Linked DNA regions of Oryctolagus cuniculus. The protein of the gene in region 1 purifies or fractionates together with the protein of each later gene. This does not show direct contact. Links are inferred from orthologs where the notes say so. Each region holds a gene or a part of one and is shown on either strand. Other genes may lie near its edges.

What was found. Proteins that work in one complex are often made in the same cells at the same time.
Region 2: the proteins of MAX (region 1) and L3MBTL2 purify together in Homo sapiens (affinity purification with mass spectrometry; 6 studies listed by BioGRID and IntAct, with this or other methods). This does not show direct contact. The link is inferred for Oryctolagus cuniculus from reciprocal best matches to the Homo sapiens genes MAX and L3MBTL2.
Region 3: the proteins of MAX (region 1) and WDR5 purify together in Homo sapiens (affinity purification with mass spectrometry; 4 studies listed by BioGRID and IntAct, with this or other methods). This does not show direct contact. The link is inferred for Oryctolagus cuniculus from reciprocal best matches to the Homo sapiens genes MAX and WDR5.
Region 4: the proteins of MAX (region 1) and MNT purify together in Homo sapiens (affinity purification with mass spectrometry; 7 studies listed by BioGRID and IntAct, with this or other methods). This does not show direct contact. The link is inferred for Oryctolagus cuniculus from reciprocal best matches to the Homo sapiens genes MAX and MNT.

The regions. Positions count from the first base shown.
Region 1 is NC_091451.1:11,144,374-11,149,286, reverse strand, and holds the start of MAX (protein max), read left to right. Parts: upstream 1-1,614; 5' UTR 1,615-1,879; coding exon 1,880-1,915; intron 1,916-2,612; coding exon 2,613-2,639; intron 2,640-4,913. UniProt on the Homo sapiens protein: Transcription regulator. Forms a sequence-specific DNA-binding protein complex with MYC or MAD which recognizes the core sequence 5'-CAC[GA]TG-3'. The MYC:MAX complex is a transcriptional activator, whereas the MAD:MAX complex is a repressor.
Region 2 is NC_091442.1:117,288,622-117,292,978, reverse strand, and holds part of L3MBTL2 (lethal(3)malignant brain tumor-like protein 2), read right to left. Parts: intron 3,728-4,357; coding exon 3,594-3,727; intron 1,377-3,593; coding exon 1,253-1,376; intron 558-1,252; coding exon 478-557; intron 1-477. UniProt on the Homo sapiens protein: Putative Polycomb group (PcG) protein. PcG proteins maintain the transcriptionally repressive state of genes, probably via a modification of chromatin, rendering it heritably changed in its expressibility.
Region 3 is NC_091432.1:235,830,401-235,834,757, forward strand, and holds part of WDR5 (WD repeat-containing protein 5), read left to right. Parts: intron 1-390; 5' UTR 391-477; coding exon 478-558; intron 559-1,861; coding exon 1,862-1,970; intron 1,971-2,096; coding exon 2,097-2,170; intron 2,171-3,268; coding exon 3,269-3,358; intron 3,359-3,434; coding exon 3,435-3,524; intron 3,525-4,127; coding exon 4,128-4,211; intron 4,212-4,357.
Region 4 is NC_091448.1:47,883,008-47,887,364, forward strand, and holds part of MNT (max-binding protein MNT), read right to left. Parts: intron 1,305-4,357; coding exon 725-1,304; intron 211-724; coding exon 169-210; intron 39-168; coding exon 1-38. UniProt on the Homo sapiens protein: Binds DNA as a heterodimer with MAX and represses transcription. Binds to the canonical E box sequence 5'-CACGTG-3' and, with higher affinity, to 5'-CACGCG-3'.

The sequences.
Region 1 (4,913 bases):
ATTAGTAAAATGGCGGCAGTCTTATCTACGGCCCGACCTATACCCCGGACACAATTCTAGGCTCTAGCCCTCCACGCCATTGCTGGAAGCCAGGTGACCCTGTGGCCCAACCATCGGTGTCAGCTCCACCCCCATCCTAACAGGATTTGTTGCTCCTACTTCCCTGCCCACCGCCTTCCCCCCAGCCTGTTCCTGAACACGTGGCTCTTTCTCACTGTCTTTTGTTCTCTCTCTTTTCATTCTTTTCCCTTTCCCTCCGGTCTGTGGGGTTTACCCCACCAATAAACCCTTTGCCTTACTCCGGTGTTTGGTGTTTTGTGGCGGCCTCTCTGTAACTCTGCCTCTCAAATAAAGAAAAATAAATCTTAAAAAAAAAGGAAAAAAAAAAAAGATGTGCAGGCTTCACCAGCAGTGAGAACTATTTAGAGGGACAGAATGGAAAGGGGCGTTCATGCACATCTACATCCAATGTCTTCAGCATGGATGCCACAAAGGTTGTGTGTCCCGTCTCCAGATTCCTGCTTTCAAAAGTCAGGGGTAAAATGGTTCCTCATGTGGACAGCCGGAAGTCAGGGGAAAAGTCCAAGATTTCGCTTATTTTGGAGATCGGACATAAGGGCGGAAAATGTCTTTGTTGCTGTTTTGTTTTTCCTTCCTGTGTGCACTCTGAAATGGCAGCCGCGCAGCGTGGACTTCTGCTTGCCAGCTGGGAGTTGCATGAATGCAGGGGACATGATGGCATCCCCTTCGGCACCTGTTAGGTGCCAGTGAACACTGGAGAAGCAGATCTGTAAAAATGATTTCAAACGGAGAGGCAGCTGCGCCAGTCTTCCAGTCTGCAATTTTTAGCCGCGGTGCTCCGGGCCGGGGCACTCTGCAGACCGCCCGAGCTACGCCGGACCCGGAAGGCGCTTTCACTTCCAGGTACCCCGGCTGCCGGGGGTGGGCTCCGTGGTCCTGGGAGCCTCACGTGCGCCGTGCGGACCGACACTGCCCGCTAAAGGGACGCAAGCCTCTGCGGCTAGGAGAGGTCCCTCGGCGAGGGCGGTCGCGGTGCCCGTGCCGTCACACCACCCCACACCTGCCATCACCACCTCCACGGTTCCCGAGGGTCCGCGTGGGCAGCCAGAGCTGCGCCCCCTGGTCTGCCGCGGCAGGTTACGCCCCAGGGCGCAAAGCGGCGCGACTCCAGCATCCAGGAGACAAAGTAAAACCAATTGCACCAAAGAGAGGCAGCGCTATTTATGCGGCCGGCTTTTCCCCCAGGGCCTCCACCCTGTCCCCCGGGCCCGGCGCCCAGAGCGCAGACGGTGCCCGGCTCCGGAGCCCCAGCTCCCTCCACGTGTCCTGTCTTCCCAGCAGCCTCCTCTGCCGCCTCGGGAGGAAAACCTCCTGACAACTCGCGGTCTGCGGACTACGTCTCCCAGAAGGCGCCGCGCCGCCTCTCTCTCCGCCCTCCTCCGCGGGACACGCAGGCGCCCTGAGCTCCGTCCGCAAGCCGGCCTGGCGTCGACGGGCTGCAGTGCTTCCTGGGATTTGTAGTTCTTTGGGCTCTCGCCGGGCCGTCAGTCCCAAGGACGAGAACTACAAGACTCGGCTGCCCCAGCGTGCCGAGTCCGATCACGTGGCAGGGGGCCGACCGGGCGTGCGTGCCGCCGTTGATCCGGTGCTGCAGTGAGGAGGTGGTTCTCGCCCGTGTTGTGTGTGTGTGCGTGTGTGGGGGTGTGTGTGTGTGAGTGAGTGAGAGAGCGAGTGAGTGAGTGAGTGAGTGTGTGTGTGGGGGCACTTGGCTGCTTGTTGTCGGTGACTTCCCCCTCCCCTCCACCCTTCCCCCTTCCCGCCGCCGCCGCTGCAGTGGCCGCTCCCTGGGCCGTAGGAAATGAGCGATAACGATGACATCGAGGTGGAGAGCGACGTGAGTCCCGGGGCTTCTTCCTTCCCGTGCGGGTTGTCAGGCGGGGACAGCGGCCAGGGCTCTCAGCGGGGCGACGGCGGGAGGGGGCCGGGCCGCAGCCGCCGCCTCCTCCTCCTCCTCCTCCTCCTCCTCCCCCCCTTTCCCCTCCCCGGCCGGGACCGCCTCGGTCGCGCTCCCGGCTCGCTCCCCTCGGGGCTGCCGGGCTGGAGGTGGGGGAGAGGACACGCGGCCTCTGGGACCCCCGGCCCGTTCTCCTGCCGCCACCCTAGCCAGCTGAGGCTCCGTGGGACAGGGCTGGGGTGCGACCGGGATCTCATTGTCCGGATCCTGGGGTCGGCGATCCCCTCCTCCCGGGACCCGCGGATCCTGGGGGGTGCGGGGGGTGCGGCAGAGCGGAGAGGGGTTGGGAGTGTCCCGGCGGCCCGAGCTGGGTCCGAGGGGAGGAGACGGTGCTCGGGAACCCCTCTGGCCCGGGTCGGATCCCGGAAAGAGGGGCGGCGCTCGGGACCCCCTGCCCGGCTACTGGATCCCGCTGGGGGAGGGTGGGGGCGTGGGGCGGGGAGGGAGGGGTGAAGGGCTGACTCCCCCCCCCCCACCCGCCGCTTCCTCCGCCGCCGGCATTTTCTTTCTTATTATTGAGTGTGAAGTGTAAAAATAACTTCTATATTTTCTATTTTTTTTTTCTCTCTTATTCCAGGAAGAGCAACCGAGGTTTCAATCTGCGGTACGTCTCCTACTCTCCATTTCGTTTTCATTTCCGTTCAGTTCTAGTCCTTTCTGGGGTCAGAGAGAACCAGAGATTGTTCTAATACTTTTAATAATGTAGTAAACCCTCCTGTTGCCCGCTAAGGTGAGGTGGGGCCTGAATCCGGGGTGCCGGGGGGTGGGGAGGGAGAGCTGCGAATCCCATAATTCCAGATTCTCAGGTGACTGAGTGCTGAGTGAAGCCAAGACGTGGAATGGCCTGTAGTTTCCACACGGGCTTGCAGCTCCTGCCGTGCGAGTGGGGAATGAGGACAGCCTTTGGAGGCAGATAGTGGCTGGCGTCGCTCCAGGGCCAAGGAGCTGGGAGGCTGAGTTAGGCAGCAGGCGGTGTTGAACCCTAGCCACATAGCTGGGTCCGGCTGAAGCCACATGCAGTAATGGCCCCTAACCGGGAGTCATGGGGCTGGCAGGCCGAGGTGTTGTAGCACCAACGGCAGACCAGCCGGGGCGGGCGGGCGGGCCGTGGCACCAGCCTGACCTGCGGCTCCTTGTGGGCGGCCCCTGTCCCAGTTGAAGGAGAGGGGGATAGAGAATGGTGAGAGCGGCTGAAGACAGCGCTGGGGAAAGGTGATGGAGGCGGTCACCGGTGTTCTCGCGGTGGCTCCCACGTTCTGATGCCAGTGTGCTCGGGCGTGCTCCTGTGCACTCCCACTCGGAGCTCTTGTCTTTGGAGCCGTGCTGCGGGCGTGTGTGGCTAGATCAGAGAAAGCAGAGGAGAGATGCGGAGTAAATCCGCACTGGAGCGGGCAAGAAGAGCGAAGCGTGGCAGAGGCTGTGCTGGTCGTCAGCTAGGAGCCGGGAGCTGTGGGGTGCCCCAGGCAGTGGGGAGCTGAGAGTCCAGGGGAGGGAAGAGGTGGGGCCTGGGCTCCTGGGGGACACAGGCCTCCCAAAGAGGCAGGCGCTCCTCCGCCCCAGTGGGTGGGTATGTGGGAGGAGCACCCGCTGTTGCCAGATCTTCCTGTTGTGAAGGAAATAGTGGAAATCCACAACTTGTATATGACTTTTGTGATTTTCAAAAGAATGTGTGGACCAGCTGTGTGCAGGCTTGGTAGAGTTTGCAGGATGCCGCGGTAGACCCCTGGTGTAGGAATTTAGTAACCACAAAGGCAAGCTCTCTGCATTGTCCCTGTGCGTCATCAGAGCACGCCAAGGTGGCACGGGTTGTCCAAGAGAGACCATTAGGAAAGCTGGCCTGAGAGCTGATGTTTCCACTGAACTCCCAGCGTGCACTTGCTCCTGGCCAGCAGTCGTGAATATTTGCTGTGCTTTATTTCTCTTTGAAGTCATGATGCACACTCGTATTCACCCATGGATGTGAAAATTGAATTCCCTCTTCCCGTTGCTGTTGTCCTCACTAATGTGGCAGCGGAGCCCAGTGTGCCTGCAGCATTGTTTGCCGACCTCTGGCTCAGGGCTGGACCGGGGTTGGTCAGTCAGGTGTCAGTCGCTGCAGAATCCGCCCTGTGCATTTGCATTCCGATGGCTTCCCGGTGAGAGGAAGGTTCTTTTGTGCATGAAATTTTGGCTCACGGTTTTTGGAAGCTTCCTGCTTTTCCAAATGTTCATCCCCGTGGATTCATGTAAATTTGTTGATTAGATTATTAGAGTAGTTCCTCTCCTAGAGGGCGACTCTCATTGTTTTGTCCAGATGTTTTCAGTTTGCTGTTAAGGTGCCTACTTCCCCCCCGTTGATTTTGGGGAGAAGGCAAGGGAAGCAGTTTTGACCCTGTGGTATGAACTTGACACATCTGCTTGTTGGATTTTTAAATGTGAGGCAGAAGATCACGAGCAGCATGGAGACAGAAAGCAAATGCATCTTCCGACGGCCCAGACCACCTGCGCGTGTGCAGGGTGAAAAGGGGTTTTTTGTTTCCTCTGTGAATGCATCTGTTTGCTGAGATTTAGTATAAATAAAAATATTGGCAAAAAATTATGGGGAAAACTGTTTGTAAGTTTTGCCTTAAAAAAACGTTCAAAGGAAAAAGACAAAAAACTGAACAACTCCGTGTTAAGGACTCCAGAGAATTTTTTCGAAGTTATTTGGAAAAGGTTCTGGGGGCCCTAAGCCGTGAAGAGCCAGCCACGGACGTGCTCTGGTGCCGTTCCGGTGTCTGAGCCGTGCTCGGAGAGAAGTGCAGGGGGCAGCAGGCACGGAGCGAGGCAGCCGGGCTGGCTGGAAGAGAAAGTGAAACTGATGTGACGACTGTTTTTTTCAGTTGCCTCTGTGCGAGGG
Region 2 (4,357 bases), on another chromosome or scaffold:
GAAAGACAGAGTTACAGAGAGAGGGAGTGACAGACCTTCCATCAGCTGGTTCACTCCCTAAATGGCCCCTAACAGCCAGGGCTGGGCCAAGTTGAAGACAGGAGCCAGACTCCATCCAGGTCTCCCATTTGGGTGGCAGGGGTCCAGGGAGTTGGGCCATCTTCCGCTGCTTTCACAGGCACATTAGCAGGGAACTGGGCTGGAAGTGGAGCAGCCGGGACTTGAACCTGTACTCATAGGGTTGCCAGGGTGCAGATGGCTTAACCCGCTGTGCCGCAGCGCAGCTCCGGGAGTTTTGAGGAGCAGCAGACTCAGAGCATGGAGCCGGCTGACAGGGCTGAGCTCCTTCCACCTGGCGCGCACTGCAGCTCTGCGGCACCGCACCAGCCTGGCACCGTCCTTGGGAAGCGGTGTGCACACCAAGGCCAGCGCCTCCGCTGTGTGCCCTGCCCTCCCTCTGCAACCCGGGGCACTCACGTGTTTGAAGCAGCTGACAGGAGCAGCTTTGTAACTGTGATCCTTCAGGAACTTGCCCCAGTCGAAGCCCAGGACCAGAGCTGTGGAGCAGAGAGGAGATTGGCGCCTGGAAGCCCGGTGGCAGCGCTGTGGTCACTGCACTGAGGGCCGGCGGGCTCAGCAGCAGTCGCTCTTCCGCAGCAGTCCCAGTGCGCCCAGACCTGTCCCACCAGTGGCCACCAGGGGGTGCAGGCAAATCTAGACGCCGCCAATCCTCGGTAGAGGAGCACTTACAAAGGAGTATCTCTCCCTTCTTATCCCAAGGAAAGGGAAATGCCAGTGTCCCTGGGTTCAAATTCCTCACACCCCTCAGCCTCTCCTTGGCCACATCCAACCCAACAGGGTGGAGCAGCACAGAGTGAGGCCCAGACCTGCTGGCGGGGAGGCCAACTTGGCAGAGCTGCGAGGGCCTACACTTAGTTTGCTACACACACACACAGAGAAGGTTCCTTTTGTTATCCTAACCCCGGACTGCCGCCCCTTCAAACCAGACTTGGGCCTCCACTGCCCCAGAGATAAGAGAAACAAAAGAAGCTAATTCCTGACTTCTGAGGGGTGAGCCAGGAGCTTTTAGGAGGTAACTTCCAGGACAGCCCACAGGAAAGGGTGACGGGCAGCGAGCCTGGGCCAGGGGCTTTCCAGTGGTCCAGCTTTCCCAGCCCCCACTCCCAGGGAGGGCCAGCCGGGTCCCGGCCACCACCGCAGCCACTTTCAGAACCTGTCCCTGCTGTCTTACCGTCTTGCCCTGTGGGCGTCCCATCGGCCAGCTGTCCAGTGCCCTGGGAGTGCAGGAAGGCTCCGATTTTAGCAGACCAGGCCGCCTTGTGCAGCACTTTGGCTTTCTTGGTTGGTGGTTTCCCCTGGAGGGAAAAGAGAGGCCGTGAGGTGGCGGCTAAGGATCTGGATCGGCACTGTCAGGATCCGCCTGGTCTTGTTCAGTTACTTATCCTCTTCTGGCTTGAGTTTGTAAAACACAGCGTGGACAAGGCCTAGCTCAGAGGGTGATGGTGGTGGTGGGTAGTCAGCGGAGCAGGGGCCTCTCCCTACAGCTTTAGCTCTGTCAGCTCCTTACTCTGGTGCTGCTACTGAGCCACGCAGAGAATAGGCTGGGCGGGGGTGAGGTGGGGGAGGGTGGCACCACGAAGTCTCTGCTCCACGAGGCAGCATTCCGTACACAGGTAATTGTGCTCCACGGAGGCTCCCGTGCTGTCCTCAGGTACTCAGAGGAGGTCACCCCCAAAGGGAAAGGCCAGGGCCCTGGTGCATACTTTGTAACTTACGCACTGATCAGAAAAGCCAGGAATTTACCACAGATCAGTGAGGCAGAAATGGAGGATGACATCCCACACAGACTGGGGGCCAACCCCGGTTCTGAAGCTTTCTATATCTTTTACTCAAATGCTTAAACTCTTAAAACAGGAATTTGTGTAAAGTCAATTTTTTAGGATCGTTGTTTAGACTGGGAATGCCAAGCCCTCAACAGGTGTCCCCCGATGTCACTATTACCAAGTAACATCACGAGCTCTCTTTCATGCGTTGCATAAAACCCACAAAACGAGGGAAGCAAAGGCAGTGCAGTGAGTGAGGCACCGGCCGGAGCCAGCTCAGGGCACTGCCACCAGCATCACGGTGGCAGGCAGAGTCACCGGCGAGCTCTTTAAATCCCCAAGCCAAGATCACACTCCTTCCCTGTTAAGCCAGTCTTTGGGTATAGGACCCAAATATCTTTTTTTTTTCTTTTTTTTTTTTTTTTTTGACAAGTAGAGTGGACAGTGAGAGAGAGACAGAGAGAAAGGTCTTCCTTTTGCTGTTGGTTCACCCTCCAATGGCCGCCGCGGCTGGCACGCTGCGGCCAGTGCACCGCGCTAATCCGAAGGCAGGAGCCAGGTACTTCTCCTGGTCTCCCATGGGGTGCAGGGCCCAAGCACTTGGGCCATCCTCCACTGCACTCCCTGGCCACAGCAGAGAGCTGGCCGGGAAGAGGGGCAACCAGGACAGAATCCGGCGCCCCGACCGGGACTAGAACCCGGTGTGCTGGCGCTGCTAGGTGGAGGATTAGCCTAGTGAGCTGCGGCACCGGCCCCAAATATCATATTTTTAAAACTTTCTAGAGGCTGGCACTATGGTGCAGCAGGTTAATGCTCCGGCCTGCAGCGCAGGCATCCTATATGGACGCCAGTTCAAGACCTGGCTGCTCCCTGCTAATGCGCCTTGGGAAAGCAGCAGAGATGGCCCAAGTGCGTGGGCCCCTGCACCCACGTGGGAGACCTGGAAGAAACTCCTGGCTCCTAATTGGCCCAGCTCTGGCCATTGAGGCCATTTGAAGAGTGAACCAGTGAATGGAAGACTCTCTCTGTCTCTACCTCTCTGTGTAACTCTTCCAAATAAACAAATCTTTAAAAAAAAAAAAAAACCAAAACTTTCCGGATGTTCCGAATGCACAGTCTCCTTTGAGGCACGTGTGCACGTTGGGAAACACCCACGGCCGGCAGCTGAGCGTAGGCTGCAGCCCAGATCCCAGTGCTCTCCCTCCACAGAGCTGCCCTGGGTCAGTCGTTCCACCTCCCTGCACTCGGCACACTGCATCATCTTGTGGGTCTGACAACAGGTGCCTAAGACAAGTGTTTCCATCCCTAAACTTCTATAAATGTCAAGAGCTTGGCAAGACTTCCCAGGTGGCCACCCATGAGACACAGTCAGCGACAAGGCATCGGCTTCCTGATGCCGCTGTGGCTGCTGAACCTTGCGCCTGTATCCCAGCTTCCCTTCAAGGCATTTATAAAAGCGTGCAGAGAAGAGCAGGGCTTCCAGCTCTGATCAGAACCTCCAGGACTCTCACTTAAATTTATTGAATATGAGCGACTCTTGGGGGTGGAAGGATAACAGCAAGCTCTTAATGAACAAGCTCCATAAACTGACTCCTCTGCCTACTGAGGTTTGAGAGCACAGCAAATTCTCAGAAGAAATGTCCAACCTCAGACGGCCAAAACAGGGAGCTTCCCAGGTCCTCTGGGCCTCCAGTCAGCTGGTCCTCTTTTAGCACCCAGGGCCCTGGGGGCCGAGCGGCTGCCTCTCACCTGTAATCTAGCCAAGATGCTGGCTTTCTTGGAGTTGGAGGAATAGCTCCTGGAGCAGGAGACGCTGCAGAACCTCTTGGTCTTGGAGAAGAAGGCTTCCCTTGTGCCCACGATACCGCACATCTCACAGACAGCTGGGAAGAGAACTTAGCACATGACTCACCTGGTACGGTCGCCCCAAATCAAACCCAATGAGGCCTTCAATACCTGGGACATTGCACTAACCAGGTGAGTGCCAGCCCTCACTAAGGCTGACACAAGAGGAGGAGGAGGAGGTGGTGGAGGAGGAGGAGGCGGAGGCCACACTGAACACATCTGAACGGACCTCACCTAAGCGAGGCTGCCCGGCCTCCCTGGGCTGTGTGTGTAACAGCGGGGCTAAGGGAACTTCAGAAAGACAACTGGGGAAACAGGTCAGTGAGGAAGTTTTCAAGACAGAGAAGTCAAAGAGAAAAACATGTATTAGGTAGAAGTGCCCAAGTCGCTCAATCCTTGTGGCTCCATTATCTCATGGATACAGTAAAGAGACTGAGCTGGGTCAGCGTTTCAACCCTGACTTCACATTACAGACACCTGGGGAGCTTAAACGCTTGCCCACGCCAGGCATTCTACGGAACTGGTCTGCACCGGGGCACCGCCATCTGCAGTGTGTCGGGCATCCCCTGTGGGATTCCAATGTGCAGCCAGGGCCACAACTGGTCTCTACTGGTCGCTTCTAGTTCTAAGGTTCTAAGGTTCTACGGGAAGGGCTGGAGGAAGACAGA
Region 3 (4,357 bases), on another chromosome or scaffold:
TTTTTTATGCATTTTTTTTTTTTTGACAGGCAGAGTGGATAGTGAGAGAGAGAGACAGAGAGAAAGGTCTTCCTTTTGCCGTTGGTTCACCCTCCAATGGCCGCTGCGGCCAGCGCACTGTGCTGATCCAAAGGCAGGAGCCAGGTACTTCTCCTGGTCTCCCATGGGGTGCAGGGCCCAAGCACTTGGGCCATCCTCCACTGCACTCCCGGGCCACAGCAGAGAGCTGGCCTGGAAGAGGGGCAACCGGGACAGAATCCGGCGCCCCGACCAGGACTAGAACCCGGTGTGCCGGCGCCGCAAGGCAGAGGATTAGCCTAGTGAGCCGGCTGCTAGAGATTTCTAAGTAGATTTCTTTTTGTACCGTTTTTCCTGGGAATTAACGTCTAGATACGGTTTGCGCTGCCCAGGCCCACTGTAGACCTCGGTTAGCCGCAGCCTCCTGCCCTGCGGTCCCGCCTGCTGGGCGCCAGCGCCATGGCCACGGAGGAGAAGAAGCCCGAGACCGAGGCCGCCAGAGCCCAGCCCACCCCTTCCTCGTCCGCCACTCAGAGCAAGGTGGGGACCTGACGGCACTGCCCCCCTCCCGGCCTGGGGCGGCAGAGGTTAGGACTGGGCCTGCAGGGCCGGGCTGATGTCGCCGCCCGCCTTCCCCGAGTGACCGCAGTCCTGGTGAACGCCCGCGGCAGCTTCGTACAAAACACGGGCGCTCGGTCCTGCTCCCGTCTGCGGAACTCGGCCCTCGGCCCCAGCAGGCCCTGGGCGGGGATGCGGGCCCTGGTCTGGGCGGTGGGATGCGGGCCCTGGTCTGGGCGGTGGGATGGGGGCCCTGGTCTGGGCGGTGGGATGCGGGCCCTGGTCTGGGCGGTGGGATGGGGGCCCTGGTCTGGGCGGTGGGATGCGGGCCCTGGTCTGGGCGGTGGGATGCGGGCCCTGGTCTGGGCGGTGGGATGGGGGCCCTGGTCTGGGCGGTGGGATGCGGGCCCTGGTCTGGGCGGTGGGATGCGGGCCCTGGTCTGGGCGGTGGGATGCGGGCCCTGGTCTGGGCGGTGGGATGCGGGCCCTGGTCTGGGCGGTGGGATGCGGGCCCTGGTCTGGGCGGTGGGATGTGGGCCCTGGTCTGGGCGGTGGGATGGGGGCCCTGGTCTGGGCGGTGGGATGCGGGGGCCTTTGGTGAAGGTACCAGGCCTGCAGGTGCAGCCCAGGGAAGCTGAACCAGGCTGGAGCTGCTGGGCCTGGGACGTGGCAGGGCCACGTGGGGGGGTTGGGGTGGGTGGGTTGGGGGTGGAGGTGGTCGCATCAGAGGGGCTGGGGGGGTGGGGGAGGTGGGGGTGGTCGCATCAGAGGGGCTGGGGGGGTTGGGGGGGTGGGGGTGGTTGTGTCAGCGGGGCTGGGGGGGCTGGGGGGGTGGGGGTGGTTGTGTCAGCGGGGCTGGGGGTCTGGGGTGGTCACATCAGAGGGGCTGGGGGGGTTGGGGGTGGTCACATCAGAGGGGTTGGGGGGGTTGGGGGTGGTCACATCAGAGGGGTTGGGGGGGTGGGGGTGGTTGCGTTAGCGGGGCTGGGGGGGTGGGGGTGGTTGTGTCAGCGGGGCTGGGGGGGCTGGGGTGGTCACATCAGAGGGGCTGGGGGGGTTGGGGGGGTGGGGGGTGTTGCATCAGTGGGGCTGGGGGGGCTGGGGTGGTCACATCAGAGGGGCCTCTGGGGGGAACCGTGACCTCGGGTTGCAGGGTGGCTCCGGGTAGAGTCTCCAGCAGGCGCCTGGCCTAGGGGGGCTGCGCCGGCCTTCAGCTGGGGTCCACGTGGCTGCTAGCTGGGGGGGGGGGCTTCTGCTAGTGGGACCTCTGCCTTCTCTCCAACAGCCCACGCCTGTGAAGCCCAACTACGCCCTGAAATTCACCCTGGCCGGCCACACGAAAGCCGTGTCCTCCGTGAAATTCAGCCCCAACGGCGAGTGGCTGGCCAGCTCCTGTAGGTGCCGCGGGCGGGGCGGGTGGGGGGGCGATCTCCCCGCGCTGGGGTCCGGGAAGCCCAGGCAGTGGGTGGCCGAGCGACCATGCTCCCTGAGCCCCAGCCCCGCCTCCCTCTTTCTTTCAGCTGCTGATAAACTCATTAAAATCTGGGGCGCATACGACGGGAAGTTTGAGAAGACCATCTCGGGCCACAAGCTGGTGGGTGTCCCCGGGAGCGGGGCTGGAGGAGGCCTGGCGGGGGAAGGGCCCCCCGCGTGTTCCGCCGCGCTCTCCCTGTGCCCACACTGGCCCCCGCCGGCAGGCACAGCGCCCGGGCCTCTCGGGGGTCACAGCGCCCCGGCCTCTCCCGGGGTCACAGTGCCCGGGCCTCTCGCGGGGTCACAGCACCCGGGGCCTCTCGGGGGTCACAGCGCCCCGGCCTCTCGCGGGGTCACAGTGCCCGGGCCTCTCGGGGGTCACAGCGCCCCGGGGCCTCTCGGGGGGGGGGGTCACAGCGCCCCGGCCTCTCGGGGTCACAGCGCCTGGGCCTCTCGGGGGTCACAGCGCCCCGGGGCCTCTCGGGGGGGTGTCACAGCGCCCCGGGGCCTCTCGGGGTCACAGCGCCCGGGGCCTCTCGGGGGTCACAGCGCCCCGGGGCCTCTCGGGGGGGGGGTCACAGCGCCCCGGCCTCTCGGGGTCACAGTGCCTGGGCCTCTCGGGGGTCACAGCGCCGCGGGGCCTCTCGGGGTCACAGCGCCTGGGCCTCTCGGGGGGGGGGTCACAGCGCCCCGGCCTCTCGGGGGGGTGGGTCACAGCGCCCGGGCCTCTCGGGGGTCACAGCGCCCCGTGGCCTCTCGGGGGGGGGGTCACAGCGCCCGGGCCTTTCGCGGGGTCACAGCTCCCGGCCTCTCGGGGTCACAGCGCCCCGGCCTCTCGGGGGGGGGGTCACAGCGCCCGGGCCTCTCGGGGGTCACAGCGCCCCGGGGCCTCTCGGGGTCACAGCGCCTGGGCCTCTCGGGGGTCACAGCGCCCCGGGGCCTCTCGGGGGGGGGGTCACAGCGCCCTGGCCTCTCGGGGGGGTGGGTCACAGCGCCCGGGCCTCTCGGGGGTCACAGCGCCCCGTGGCCTCTCGGGGGGGGGGTCACAGCGCCCCCGGCCTCTCTGGGGTCACAGCGCCCCGGCCTCTCGGGGTCACAGCGCCCCGGCCTCTCGGGGTCACAGCGCCCCGGCCTCTCGGGGTCACAGCGCCCCGGCCTCTCGGGGGTCGGCTCTGGGCCGAGCTCTGTCGCTGCCGGAGCTCACCGTGGTCTCCCCCAGGGAATATCCGACGTGGCCTGGTCCTCAGATTCCAACCTCCTCGTCTCTGCCTCCGACGATAAGACCTTGAAGATCTGGGACGTGAGCTCGGTGAGCCGCGCGCGCCCGCGGGGCCCTGGGGGTGGTCCCGGCCCCGCCCGCCGGAGTCTGAGGGGCTTTGTTGCAGGGCAAGTGCCTGAAGACCTTGAAGGGCCACAGCAACTACGTCTTCTGCTGCAACTTCAACCCGCAGTCCAACCTCATCGTGTCGGGCTCCGTGAGTGCGGGGCGGGGCTGCGCGGGGGCGGGGCGGGGCGGGGCTCCGTGAGTGTGGGGCGGGGCTGCGCGGGGGGCGGGGTGGGGCGGGGCTCCGTGAGTGCGGGGCGGGGCTGCGCGGGGGCGGGGCAGGGCTCCGTGAGTGCGGGGCGGGGCTCCGTGAGTGCGGGGCGGGGCGGGGCTCCGTGAGTGCGGGGCGGGGCTGCGCGGGGGCGGGGCGGGGCTCCGTGAGTGCGGGGCGGGGCGGGCTGCGCGGGGGGGGGGGGCGGGGCGGGGCTCCGTGAGTGCGGGGCGGGGCGGGCTGCGCGGGGGGGGGGGGCGGGGCGGGGCTCCGTGAGTGCGGGGCGGGGCTGCGCGGGGGCGGGGCGGGGCTCCGTGAGTGCGGGGCGGGGCTGCGCGGGGGCGGGGCGGAGCTCCGTGAGTGCGGGGCGGGGCGGGCTGCGTGGGGGCGGGGCTGCGTGGGGGCGGGGCGGAGCTCCGTGAGTGCGGGGCGGGGGCGGGGGCGGGGCTGCGCTGCGTGGGGGTGGGGTGCGTGGGGGCGCGGCGTGGCGGAGGGGGCCCTGCCTTCCTGCCGTGGGCCACTGTCCTGTCCCGCCTGCCCTAGTTTGACGAGAGCGTGAGGATTTGGGACGTGAAGACGGGGAAGTGCCTCAAGACCCTGCCCGCGCACTCGGACCCCGTGTCAGCCGTAAGTCCCCCCCACCCCCGGGACGCGGCCACTGCGGGCGTGGGCTTCCGGGGGCAGCGTCCCCGACCTGAGTCTCGGGGGAGCAGGGCCGCGTGGGGAGCCGACCTCGGAAGGGGGTTCCGCGTGGAGGTAGCCTTGCTCGTCGG
Region 4 (4,357 bases), on another chromosome or scaffold:
GCTTCAGGGTCTCAAAGCATTCCTTCAGATGGGCCCTCCTGGGGAGAGGGAGCCAGGGGGTCAGCCAGCGCCGAGGGGCCTGGAGAGGCCTGGGCTGGGGCGCGCACAGAGGGCAAGCCTGAGGGGACCAGGAGCGGGCGGGGCACACACGCACGCGCGTACACACACCTGTTCTTCTCCAGTTTGTTGTGGACTTCTCTGGTTCCGATCCTGAAACCCAGGCAGACAGGAGGATCAGGGAGGAGGACGCATTAGGCGGCCTTCCGGACCTCCACCCCACCCCTACCCCGCCGCCAACCCCCATGAGCGGCAGGCATTTTGTCCCCAACATTCTCTCTGTAGAAGCAGAGGTGGCAGATGTTGGCATCCTCCACCCCCGGAAGGCGCATCTTTGCTCAGAATCCCCAACCCTTGGAACCCTCCATCCCACGCACCCAACCACAAGGCCACAGGAGGGCTCCTGGGCCTCAGAGAAGCTGCCAGTGACCCCAGTCCTTATCCAAAGGGCCCACAATCCAATACTCGGTCTAAAGGCTTGGAAATGTCATAAACCAACCCCAGCGTGGCAGGGGTCAGAGGACATCGGCAGTTGACTCCCAGCTAGAGACACAGTGAGAAGGCGGCGGGCAGGTGGGGCTGGCCTCCGGATGGCTAGCGTGGCAGGGCCCCTTCTCTTGCGCGCTCCTCTCCAGCCCCCCAGCCCTGACTGCCACCCCTCACTCACCCCCCGGGCCTCTTCTTCTGTTCGCTGGATTTGACTTCTTCAGCTGGTGCCAGCTTCAGGGTCCCGAGGGTGGTTGGGGGTGGCTGCTGGGGGGCCAGCTGAGGCTGGACGCCAGGGTGTGGTGCTATGGTCAGGATGGGTGTGGGGAGGGGCTGCAGAGGTTTGGGACTGCCGGTGGGTGGGACTGTGGTCTTTGAGTCAGGCAGCAGGGGTGTGGGGGTGGGCACCTGTGGCCTGGTGGGCAAGGGTGCTGGCTCCTTAATGCTGAGTCCAGGGGTGCCCACCAGGGCTGGCTGGCGAGGCGCCAGGGGCAGAGGCTGGGCTGGGGGTGGCAGTGGTGGGGGTGGGGGCAGCGCCTGAGGGGAGTTGGTCACTACAGGAATAGGAATGACAGTGAGTGGGGTGGGAGTGGCCAGTGGAGGAGGGGGTGCCGGCGGAGGTGCTGGGGGCGACAGAGGCAGTGGTGGCGCCTCCACGCGGGGCTCCTCCAGAGGCAGGGCATGGGCCAGCCTGGTCAGGCTACTGGTTTTCTTCTGCTCCTGCTCTCGTTCCCGCTCCAAGCGAAGCCGCTCCTGCTCCTCTATGCAGAGAACACGGGGAGGAGGGGGTGTCTCAGCAGGGCCAGTGGACCTGGGCCCCAGCCTCACCTGTCCTCTGGCCCTAAGCCATCCTTGGACCCGCCCAGACAGCTCTCAGTGACCCCTGTGCCTGCCCCTGGGGGCTCACAGTCCGGGGCAGGGGCAGGAGGACGCACAATGACAGAACCACTCAGCGGGGCAAGGACCGAGTGGCCGCAAGGCCGAGCAGGGCCTGCCAGAGACCTGCAGCAGGCAGGGCAGCCTGGAGGTGCAGGGGTGAGCAGGGAAGAGTCGGAAGCAACAGGGCTGCGGAGACCAGAGACAGCTGAGGAAGCTGCGGAGCTGGGCAGAGATGGGCGCACAAAAGACTTCGGTAACCACAGGACAATGGAGGCTTCTTTGGAAGCCAGTATCTGCTGGAGGGCAGGCGGGGCCTTCGTCTCACAGACAGAAGCAGTGAAACCCAGAGAGGCACAGTGACCCGTTGAAGGTCACACAGCAAATCTCCTGACGCTGTAGCGGATGCCCTGTCCTTGCTGGGTCAACACCTCCTCACTAGGAGTCTTCTCACATCCATTCCCTTCTGCCTGGGTGCTCGCAAGAGCCCACATCACAGGCACGCACTGCCCACTCCCAGGCTAGGGTTCAAGGCCTGCTTTCTTCAGCGAATCGCTCAAAACACACACACACTTGGCTCCCGCCTGCCCCTTCTCATGCTAGAACTCATTTCTCTCCAGCCCCTGCCTCCTGTGCCCACCATTTCCAGTGCAGACTGGAGAAAGAGGTGGACAGAAGCTGGGCTTTTTCCTGGGGATCAGACAGGGCAAGAGCAGGCAGCTGCACCCTGCGTGCCCCTGGTCTGTAGCCCCCAGGCCAGCCCTCACCCTCTGCTGACTAACAGGCCGGGAGACACACCCCAAACAGGTGGGAGCGCATCACTGCCCCCCCACAAGTCTGACTGGCTCAGAGGCCCCAGCAGACCTGAGTCCTTGGGGCCCTCTGGCCAATCAACAACTTGAGAGTGAGCCAACCCTGCTCCCAGCCCCTCCCTGCTGCAAAGGAGAAGAGGCAAAGGAGGAAGTGGAGGGGGAAGGTCCGGAGGGGGGGCGCTCGGCGGTTTCCAGCAGTCCAGGGGCTGGCCAGTCAGGAGGCCTCTTCCGTGTCCCCCCTGGCCTGCAGGAAGGAGAAATGCCGGGCCTCCTCCCTCCCTGCCCCCGGCACAGGCATGCTGACAGCCACACAGAAAACCAGCTCTCTGCACTCCAGCTCCCCACAAACCACAATGGCACAGAAGCCAGCTGAGTTCCAGCTACAAAGCCCTTCTCAGGCCCAGCTGGGACACCCTGTCTGCTCTCCCACCCTGCTCTCCCCCTGCCCCCCAGGTGAGGTCCTCAAACTCAGAGCCCCACACAGCCCCCATCTCCATTCCTTTGACTGACTTAAGACCCAAACTTTCATTAGCCTTGGGGCCACTGCTCCACCATACACAGGCAGAGGACAGACAGGGCCCCACGTCCCAAGCACAGGTGCTCTGAGAACCCAGACTGAAGTCAAACCCCATATTCTCATATTTTATTTTTAAAAATTTATTTCTGCTTTACTTGAAAGGCAGAAAGAGACAAAGGGAGATCTTCCAACCACTGTTTCACTGCCTCCCAAAAGGCCCACAGCAGCCAGAGCAGGGCCAGGATGTAGCCAGAAGTCAGGAACTCTATCCGGGTCTCCCACACAGGTGGTAGGGTCCAAGCAGCTGGACCACCATCTGCTGCCTCTGGGTACACATTAGCAGGAATGGTGGACTGGAAGTGGAGCCAGGACTTGAACCAGGCACTCCAATGTGGGATGCAGGTGACCCAAGCAGTGCCATAACCACTGAGCCACGGGCTCAACTCCAAGGCTCACCTAGGAAATGGCCACTTGCTCCTCACCTAGCCTCTCTCTTGCAGAGTCAGGCAGGTATACCTCACAGGTGCCGGGGAGGAAGAGCGCCGTGGGACCTCGGCCAGCACGGCACAGCTTGCCTGCTGCTGAAGAAGGGGCATCTCAGGCCGATCTAGTCCATCCAAGATCTCTGCCCCCTCCCCTGCTCTGATTCCTTCCTGGGCCAGTGCCTAAGAGGGGAAGCGAACTGGCAATAGCCAGGGCCGCCCTCAGGAGCAACCTGTGTTCAGGCACTTTCAAAAAGCACCCTGCTGCGTTCACAGTGCACACCCTGTCTCACATTCCCGCACCTTCCCTGGGTTTCCCCAGAGGCTGCCCCCAGAGAACTTATCAGTGATCCAGGGACCAAGGCTCCAGTCCCCAGTCAACAGCACAGACACTGTGCCCCCTGTGGTCCGGGGTCTCAGCAGCAAAGGGCTGGCCTTGAATCTGCACAGGACTGCTCCCCTTCTGTATGCCAGCTAACAGGGAGCCGGGCACAGCAGGCAGGACCAGGGTGAGGCCAGCAGCAGCGTGTGTCAGGAGGGTTTGCACACTGCAGCCAACCCCTCCCATCCAGGTAGGAGGCAGTCCCATCCAAGTCAGTTCCATGGATGCTAGGAATGGCCAAGCCAGGTCTTCCTGATGAGCACCAGAATCAATGGTTTTATGCTTCTCTCTCTCTCAATCTCAGGTTCACCAAGTGCACAAGCCGTGTGATCTAGGTCAGGACACCCACCCTTGAGCCCGAAAGGGGGAAAGGACAAGGGGATCAGTTCAGCCAGCATGTTCACGTGCCACCCCCTTCTCTCCCTCTCTTCCTGTCCCAAGTCAGAGGACAGAGCCTCAGGTCGGAAAAGAAAATAAATTCTGGAGATTAAACTGTTGGGAGTGGGTCTGGTATGGGAGACCCAGCTCTCCAGCACCCCCCCATCCCCTAAGGCCCCTTGATCTGAGACACTGTGACAGGGCAGAGCTTTGCAAACTCCTTAAGAGAAAAGCTTTGCTGGGGTTCCTGGCAGTGTTGCACATGGCAGTCCCTTCCACCTTCCTGGTCAGCTCTGGCCTCACTTATTAGGGAAAAGGCAGGAGGGATGGCAGTGGGGGCTCTCCTTCCCTTCCCCCATGGCCACCC